Linked DNA regions of Nothobranchius furzeri. The protein of the gene in region 1 purifies or fractionates together with the protein of each later gene. This does not show direct contact. Links are inferred from orthologs where the notes say so. Each region holds a gene or a part of one and is shown on either strand. Other genes may lie near its edges.

Region 1 (4,165 bases):
GCTCCCCATTTGTTTCTTCTCCACTCGAACCATTTACCACTGCGCTGTAGCCATTTAGATATCCACTAACATTTTCGTTTGCTTTCACTGATTGCTTTTCACCAGTTACCCTTGACTGAACCATGTCTCCGTCTTGTACAAGGAGCTCTCCCTCCACTTTGAGTGAGGCCGCTGCGTAGGTTTCACCTATGATATTTCTTGCCTTGCAGATGTATTGGCCAGCATCCTGCTGGGTCACTCCCTTAATGGTTAGCAAGTATGCTTTTCCCTCCTCTGCAAGCTTGTGTCGTCCTTCAGAAAGAATTTGGACATTTTTACGTTCCCAGATAACATCCGGACGAGGGTCTCCACCGATTTGGCACCTCAATGTTGCATCTGTTCCACACTGCACCACCACAGGACGTGGGTAGCCCAAAACACGAGGAGCACCGCCAAGAATATCCATGATGAATGTCAACTTTTGCCTTCCTGAATGCAGAACTGGTATTGTTTTCAAAGTTAGATTCTTGTTTTTTGTAATGTTGGCTGTAGTTTTTGGGTAGTCTTGACTCTGGCACAAAAAGAAACACATCATAGTTTATATTTAGTGGGAAAATATTTTGTCTTTTGGAAGGCCATAGACTCATCTATTCTTACAAATATAAGAAATCCAAGAGTTTGTTTCTTTAATCTAAGCAGATTTTGGGCAGCATCTCCAAAGATCACCGCATTTTTTATTTTATTTTAGAATATCTAAGATTATTTTGTTATTTGGCTGCAGGATTATAGATGAGGCGTAGAACTACATAAGGCAAACACTTATGACATAGAATGAGACACACCCTTAAAGAACCCTAAGACCTACTGAAACTGTATTGGACAGGAAGTCACTTGAGCAACACCAGAAGGAGCTCTTTGTGGTCTAGCTTTCTTGTTCCTGTTAGAAGCGTAGCAGCAGTATTTTGCACCATCAGTAGAAAATGAAGCTATGACTAGTCTAGACCTTTATGATACACATTATAACAAAGTTAGTTGTAAAACAAACATGAGGATTTTTTTTATCTTTGAAAGAGATGAAGAGCTTTACCTTTGCTTGAAGTCATATCTGGAAGAAACTTGTGTTGACAACTGAACTGACCTCTTTGTCAAATTCAAAGGACCCATCAAAAGTTAATTCAAGGGTTTTAACAGAGGATCACCTGAATTATGCCAAAGGTCCAACAAACTATCGAGGATTTCTAGAATAGAGATTGCCAAACTATTTTGCTTCTGACCCCCAAAACAACCCCATCTAGAGACATGAGTATGCAAACACTGACAGTAACATGGTTAAATAACACTGAAATTTATCAATTCTTTCTTAATTCATTGTATTAAGTGCAATTAAATAAATAATTAGCTTATTTATTTAGTTTTTTTTTTGCATTTAAAGTGACAGTGTGTATATTTTCATGGCGATAGGAGGCAGTAGATACCTAAATCGTAAAGCAGTATTTTTTTTTGTTGGAGGAAGACCTTACCAACGGATCCCCGTTAGGGTCAAAAAGCCCTGGGGAGTGCAAACTTCAGCAAAATAACAAGCACATCCGACTCTCCTTCATCACTCGCAACAAGTGACGAGGTAAATGTGTAAAGCAACAACGTTTAAGAATGGTGAACATTTTGTAACCGTTTGTTACAAATCAGTAAATTAATTTTGTCCTCATGGGCTCCTGATGAAGGAAACATGGCGTCTAATATGGCATCGTCCAAAAACGTAGGCCTGCTCCCATGTATTTTAGACCAACATTTTTTGGGTTATGTGTTACAAAGCCGTCAATATTTTTCAACAACTGGGCATTGTTTCATTATTTTCAACAAAAATTTGATGGATGTTTCCAGAAATTAATGGTAAAAACTACACAGTGTCTCTTTAACTGAGTTTATGATGATCATCTCAAGACCCCACACTTTGTTTCAGGATCTACAACAGAGTCCCAACCCCAACTTAGCTAACCACTGATATGGAATGCAGGAAGGCTAAAGCTATCTTGACATTGGGACGTTAGGAAAGATATTTTTCAGCAAACTCAAAACAGTCATGGTTGTCTCACAGCTGGTGCTGTAACTCATTGGAGAGTGTATTTATAAAGTAGCCTCATGCTGAAGACCATGTGTCACAGCTCAGACAAAAAAAAACATCATGAACACACATTAAGTCACCAACCTAATGCATAAATACGTACATAATAGAAGTGAAACCTTTTTTTGCAGGTGTTTTTAATTTTTCCATGTTTAATGTTCTGCTGTAACAACCATAGTTCATTTAAAATGTCCCTTTTTTCTGAATGAATAGTTGCTTTTTTTATTATTAGACTCTAATACTGATAACTGGGAGTATACACATTTACCGGGCTTAGTTATACAAGAAAGAAACATTTTATTTCCACATTTCTTCACATAGGAAATTAACTAATTGGCATCATGAACTGAACTCCATTGGAATGTTTACTGTGTGAAGTGCCGTGAGACGACTCGTCGTGATTTGGCGCTATATAAATAAACTGAATTGAATTAAAGGAACTAACAAAGCCTTCTGATACTTTTCAGAAAACTATTTTCAAACTAGAAAATGAACATTTACAGGTGAAACTTACCGCTCTTTTAAAGTGACTTCATCTTTAGCATTTGATCGCTTCAAAACTGATGTCCATAAACCAACCAGGTTGCTTTAGTTGTAGGTGGGCTTCTTAAAGACAGATGTCCGTAGACCGCTTACGTCTGTTCTTCTGTCTTTTCGACCTGCTTACAGATTCTGGCTCAATGAACTAGCAGTTCACTTCACAAAGGGATTTTTTTTGTTGGGTCAGGCTCACAGGTGTCTTTTCTTGATCGTGTCCATCCAATTACACATTACCTTGCAGGGATTACCGTGTGGCGTTCACATCAATGCTGATTCTGTCATTGTCCAAAGGCTAGAGAGTAAAAGAGGGAGTGGAGAGGAAAATAAATTCTTTTGCAGCTGCTACCACTGCAAGCTAGCCCCTAAAAATACCCACAGCTAACATGACGAAGGGCCAGATAAAGTTAGACACTCCATTCACAGACTATGGTCCACTAAAGATAGCTGGGAGGCCAAGACCTGCACTGAATCCATCAGCTCTAAAGACCTCAGGAGTGACGGACGTCCTTCCCCCTAGAGTTCTTTGATTAGTCAATCATACTGACTAATAAAGATATTCAAGTTTAAATCACATTAGCATTACAAGATTATATTGAGAGGTGCTAAACAATGGTATTGATGTTGGAATAAATAGGTTGATATGAAAACCTACAATGTCACATTAGTTACTGTACTTCTTGTACTTCTAGACAAGACTTTAGGGGCTTTTTTTGTTTTAGACCCAACAACAGTATTGTTTGGTAAACAGGTGAGAGAGAATAATTATGCTGTAAATTCAGAAATCGGTCAAATTTTAGTGAGTGGAATTGTTTCGGAACTTATTCCGAGTCTTCCATGCCAGCATGTAGGGATAGTGAGGAAAGATGCGATGCAAGATTTATTGAAAATGGTCATAAGAGACCGCTTCACCTAAAAGAAAGAGACTAATGCTGATCCTTGTCATTGGGATTCAATATCTTGGGAGTTAAAGGCTTTCATGCACTCTACCACCTGGGCCTTTATGGTAAACTGGGAGTTTGTGGGTTTCCATCTAAAATCAATCCAAGTGTTTTTAGTTTCAATACATCAGCATGTAAATGAAGAACAAGAGGTTTAAGTCTGGTAAGCTTTGTGAGTAAAGTAGTAGTTATTCCACTGCAAGTACCGGCAATTGTCCCTCTCCAAAACAGATCTGAATCTGTTGTAGACACTTACTGCCTGCATTCTCAGACAATAGCTCTTTAAGCTATCGCTTCAAAAGTGTTTTGGAAGCAAAGCCCCTGCGACACTCTGAAAGCTGTCGACAGATATTTGACCTTCTGTTCAGGTCACATATCTTTCATTCTTTTGCAAACTTGCAGTTGAAATAAACACATTTCTTTGGTTCTCAGAATTCATTTCTTTGATGATTCCTCTTGTGTTCGGTTTATGTCACGTATCCACCCAATGTTAGCTCCATTCTTATCCATTCAGTCATCAATCAGCTGTTTAAAGGGATGACTGCATCAACAATCACGTCGCTTTTTGTCCTGGGATCAGGTTTCA
Region 2 (4,332 bases), on another chromosome or scaffold:
TGCCAACATGGTGACTCTGTATCTGGTTTAGAGGGCTTTCACACCATCTCACCGCTGCTCTCTTTTTTTTCTTTCGTGATTTCCAAACTAACCAGTTAGTGAGGTCTTTTATTGACGCCATGTTTGTTTTGGCTGTACCCACAAACCCAGCTCTCTCCATCTGGTCTGAATAGTCTAGTGTACCCCTTAATGGAATGCTCCAGAACTACATGCAGTGCAGTGCTGTGTAGTAGCAAGTATGTGAACAAAGACGCAGCCTGCTGCCTGCACCAACACGAGGTCAAACAGCAAGTATATCACAGCCCTTAGCATTAGCAACTCCACAACACAGCAGAACTCCTTCAAGCTTGTGTTTTTTGTGGAGATAAAGCATCAACGTTGCAGAGCTAACAGAGTCAGTGATAGAGTTGCTTTGCTGTTAGCAGATCAGAAGGGAGATGTTCAAATCCAAATCCTGCCACCTGAAGCTTCTTTCTCATGCTGATTTGTACTTCCTGAAACAGGCATACCCACCCCTACCTCCGAAAATGGCATTCCTGCTAGAGACCACTGCAAATGTATAGAGCTCCGGGAGTTGACGTCACTTCTCCCGGCATGCAACAGTTCCAATCAAAACGGCGCCATCTTGGCAGTCAGAAGCCAGCGGCTGGACTATTTGTTATTGTCAGAAAACTCAATCAAACAGGAAATATGGTAGATTCCTGTTGTGCCCCAGAATGCAGAACAGACGTGGACGACACAAGGAATGAGCCATCTACAGGATTCCCCAAGATCCGGAGCGCTGCAAACGTTGGATCATTGTAATAAAACGTGCTAGTGACCGGGCTAAAATGAAACTGTGGGATCCCGAGAGTAAAGGTTTTCGCTTATGCAGCGACCGCTTCATATCAGGTACTTAAACCAACGTTTCCTCAACTGTGTATGGTGTTTATTTTAAATGCTTTTATTACGATTCTTAGTGGGCTTCCTAAACTTATTTTGGCGTGGCTTTTTCTGTCTTATTACTCATAGCAACAAGTAAACGTCACGTAAAACGTTGCCTCGTGTTTCTGCGTGCTGCCGTTTACGTGTTTTATGATGACAGCAATTAACCGGCTAAGCTGTATTTAATTTTTAAGCAATGGTTGATCAATTGTCAGATCACACATAAAAAGCACTTTGGATTGCTATTATCTGTCTCACCGAGACAGATCTCAGACAGATCCTGAGACGCTCCTGCCTGACATATTTATTTTATTCACGGGAAAAAATCAGACTAGTGATTTCTCTTGGCGCTCAGTTTATACTTTCAAACAGCACAGCACTCTATTTAAACTACTTACATGTAAATCTATGTTATTTGTCCATCCATCCATTTTCATCCGCTTATCCGGAGTCAGGTTATGGAGGCAGTAGCCTAAGTCGAGCGGCCCAGACTTCTCTCTCCCCAGCCACTTGGGCCAGCTCCTCCGAAGAAATCCCAAGGCGTTCCCCGGCCAGGTCCGGTAAGAAGTCCGTTCTGACAGCTTCTGGCATTTTTAAAAAGTATCCCAGGGGCACGGTAAGGGTCGGAGATGTTTAGTCAATTTAATTTCTGACTATATAAAAAGATTTATTTGGTTTTAAAGTGTGAAGTAAACTCCAACGAAGTAAAATCCAAGCCGATCCCGTTCATTTTGTTTACATTTGTTGCCTGCCAACATGGCGTCTACTCTCTGAGAGTCACGTGACGTCCGGAGCTCTATTGATTAAATGGGTGAACCACATCTTTAAAGAGAACCATGGCTATGTGTCAGAGTAAGTTTTTTGGGTTTCATGCAACACACAACATCTAGAAAAGAATGAAGTGGGTCAGATGGTTCAGAGATCCAGAATCACATTATCACCAGTACTCCTGCACAGCTTGTGGCCATTAATTAGACAATTTTCTTTAAAGTCATGATTATTTGATATGTGACAACCCAAATAATTGACTGTGGTGTTAAAACTAAAAGGTAAAGTTCAGGGTTGAACAGTACCTGCAGATCTGTGATGGAGACGCTGTGGGACTCCACGGTGGGCCGGCGGGGCAGACGTGGAGAAGAATGGGGTGATGTGATAGGAGAGTATGGTAGTGATGGGTAAATATAGCGCCCGTTTAATCCAGGGGAGCTGCAGGGGGATGCTGCCGTCTGTGAGCGCTCCTGCAAAGAGAGCTTCCGGTCGGACAGGCTCAGCCTGCCCCTCTGCTCTTGGCTTTCCGGCAGCAGAGCCTCTGGCCGACCAAATGTATGGGACAGCAGGTCACAGGATGGAGTCCGGAAAGGTGCTGCAGGGGAGGAAGCAGGCTCGGGCGTCTCAGAGCTGTCCATTTCTTCTACCTGATGTAGTGCATAGAAATAATTTTTGTTACTTCATTTTAACATAAATAAATGTCAGTAGTTGAGTACAAACTTTTAATAAGGTGTTAAAGTTTGTGTTTTTATTCAGGCTAGCATTTGAAACTTCACTTTAGGTCAATATGAAGATTTATTACAAATTTTCCCAATTATGTATTTGAATCTTGCACTTTCTATAAATCAGATTATTTTTCATCTCACCTCTTCCTCTGCAGCCTGTCCAGGTGGCCGGCTTGGTTCATACTCCGTGACCACGATGAGGGACTCCATGGGGTCCGAGGACAGTGTAAGTGTTTAAAGGTGGCACAGGACAGCTGCACAGCAGATCAGGGAGAGGTTGGGAGGGCTGCACTGAGGGGGCATGGCTACCGCAAGACGCTGGGGGCTCAGCAGAAGGCCAAGCAGTTACGTGGCAAGGAAACATGGTGCCTGTCCAGGAAGACTGAGAATCGCTGCTCCATCAGAGCAAACCTTCGAAGGGGAGATGTGTCTAAGGCAAAGGGACAGAAAAATATGGGTTTGTTTAGAAAGTAAAAGACAGATTGTTACGTAAAAAATTGCAAATACACACTTCCCCGCTACTGCACAACTACACATAAGCATTTGAGAGGTGGTTAAACTGTCAGATTTTATGGGAATGTCTTTATTTTGCTCACAGCTGTGTCAACAGGTAGGAGTGTTAGCTGGAACCAATCTGCATTTCTTTAGCACATCTGAACTTCAAAGTCCCCATCACAGAAAAGTAAGACAAAAGCTGTTTCTCAGCTGACAACACATTTAAAGCAGCACAGCTCTATTTTCCACATTCAGAGTTCGTTTTTGATGTTGTTTATTTAGAGGACGGTACTGAAACCCACACTTCTCATGTGTCTTAGAAAGCATTTAACTATTAACCCCTAAAAGGGGTTGTGTATATTGTGTATCACAATAATAGGGGTTAGATTATGGAACAATTTAGAAGAGGAAATCAAAGTAAGTACAAATATAAATGTGTTAAAAATGAATTATAAAAAACATATTCTGAACAAGTATATAGTGGAAAATCGATGATTTAAGTGGGTGTCCTTTATTCTAAGGAAAAGTAAATTGTATCAATTGTAAAAAAAATGTGTTTTTTTTTGTTGTTTTTTTTCCCATATGGTTTGGTGTTTATTTTTTATTTTTTGGTGACTTGTACCATTTTGTTTGTTTTAATGTAGGTTTTGTGTTAGATTTAGTAAACAAGTAAAACTTACTTGTATAAAGGGGTAGGGACATATAAGTTCCCACTTCTGCCTACTCCTTTTCAAACAGAGAAGAAGGGATGATGATATGTATTTTTTCTGTTTGTGGTATTTTAAAAAAAATGATGTATGTTTTCTTTGTTTGAAATAAACTAAACTAAACTAGAAAAGAACATACAGGATCCAAGCACACTAGTAATCAGTTTTGTTATACTTTCAGTAAAACAAAAATATTAAACATGTTTTTTTTCATTAGGATAGAAACATAATGTCAGGCGTGCTGGTGAGTGAGACGGAGGTGAGGATCCACACACGGGTGAAGGAGGCAGGCAGGCAAACAGGAACATTAAAACAGGGATTTTAATCGGGAACACGCTGACATAGAAACAATGATCCAACACGAGACACAGAACTGAAGGGGTTTAAATACAAGAGGGCTGGGAGCTTGGGTGATTGGAAAACGAGAGGCAGGTGGGAGCAATTAGAGACACATGACTAAACAGAACGGGGAGACAGGACAGGGTGTGACAGTACCCTACACCCCCCCCCCCCCCTCAAAGGGCGGATCCCAGACACCCACAGGAACACAGAGCAGGGTGGGAGGAGGGGGACCAGGAAGGAGGGCCAAGAGGAACTGAGGGACCGGTGGAGAGGAGGCAGGAACCAGTAAAGTCCAGGGAGCTCCGTCTGGGGCAGAGGAGGAGACGACGACGAGCTCTTGGGGGCCTGCGTCTGGGGCAGAGGAGGAGACA

What was found. The genes of interacting proteins can lie anywhere in the genome.
Region 2: the proteins of obsl1a (region 1) and calcium/calmodulin-dependent protein kinase kinase 2 purify together in Homo sapiens (affinity purification with mass spectrometry; 4 studies listed by BioGRID and IntAct, with this or other methods). This does not show direct contact. The link is inferred for Nothobranchius furzeri from reciprocal best matches to the Homo sapiens genes OBSL1 and CAMKK2.

What each region holds. Positions count from the first base shown.
Region 1 is NC_091742.1:63,105,385-63,109,549, forward strand, and holds the start of obsl1a (obscurin-like protein 1a), read right to left. Parts: upstream 2,850-4,165; 5' UTR 2,616-2,849; intron 551-2,615; 5' UTR 446-550; coding exon 1-445. UniProt on the Homo sapiens protein: Core component of the 3M complex, a complex required to regulate microtubule dynamics and genome integrity. It is unclear how the 3M complex regulates microtubules, it could act by controlling the level of a microtubule stabilizer.
Region 2 is NC_091746.1:48,735,352-48,739,683, reverse strand, and holds the start of calcium/calmodulin-dependent protein kinase kinase 2, read right to left. Parts: upstream 2,816-4,332; 5' UTR 2,628-2,815; coding exon 2,559-2,627; intron 2,340-2,558; coding exon 1,998-2,339; intron 1-1,997. UniProt on the Homo sapiens protein: Calcium/calmodulin-dependent protein kinase belonging to a proposed calcium-triggered signaling cascade involved in a number of cellular processes. Isoform 1, isoform 2 and isoform 3 phosphorylate CAMK1 and CAMK4. Isoform 3 phosphorylates CAMK1D.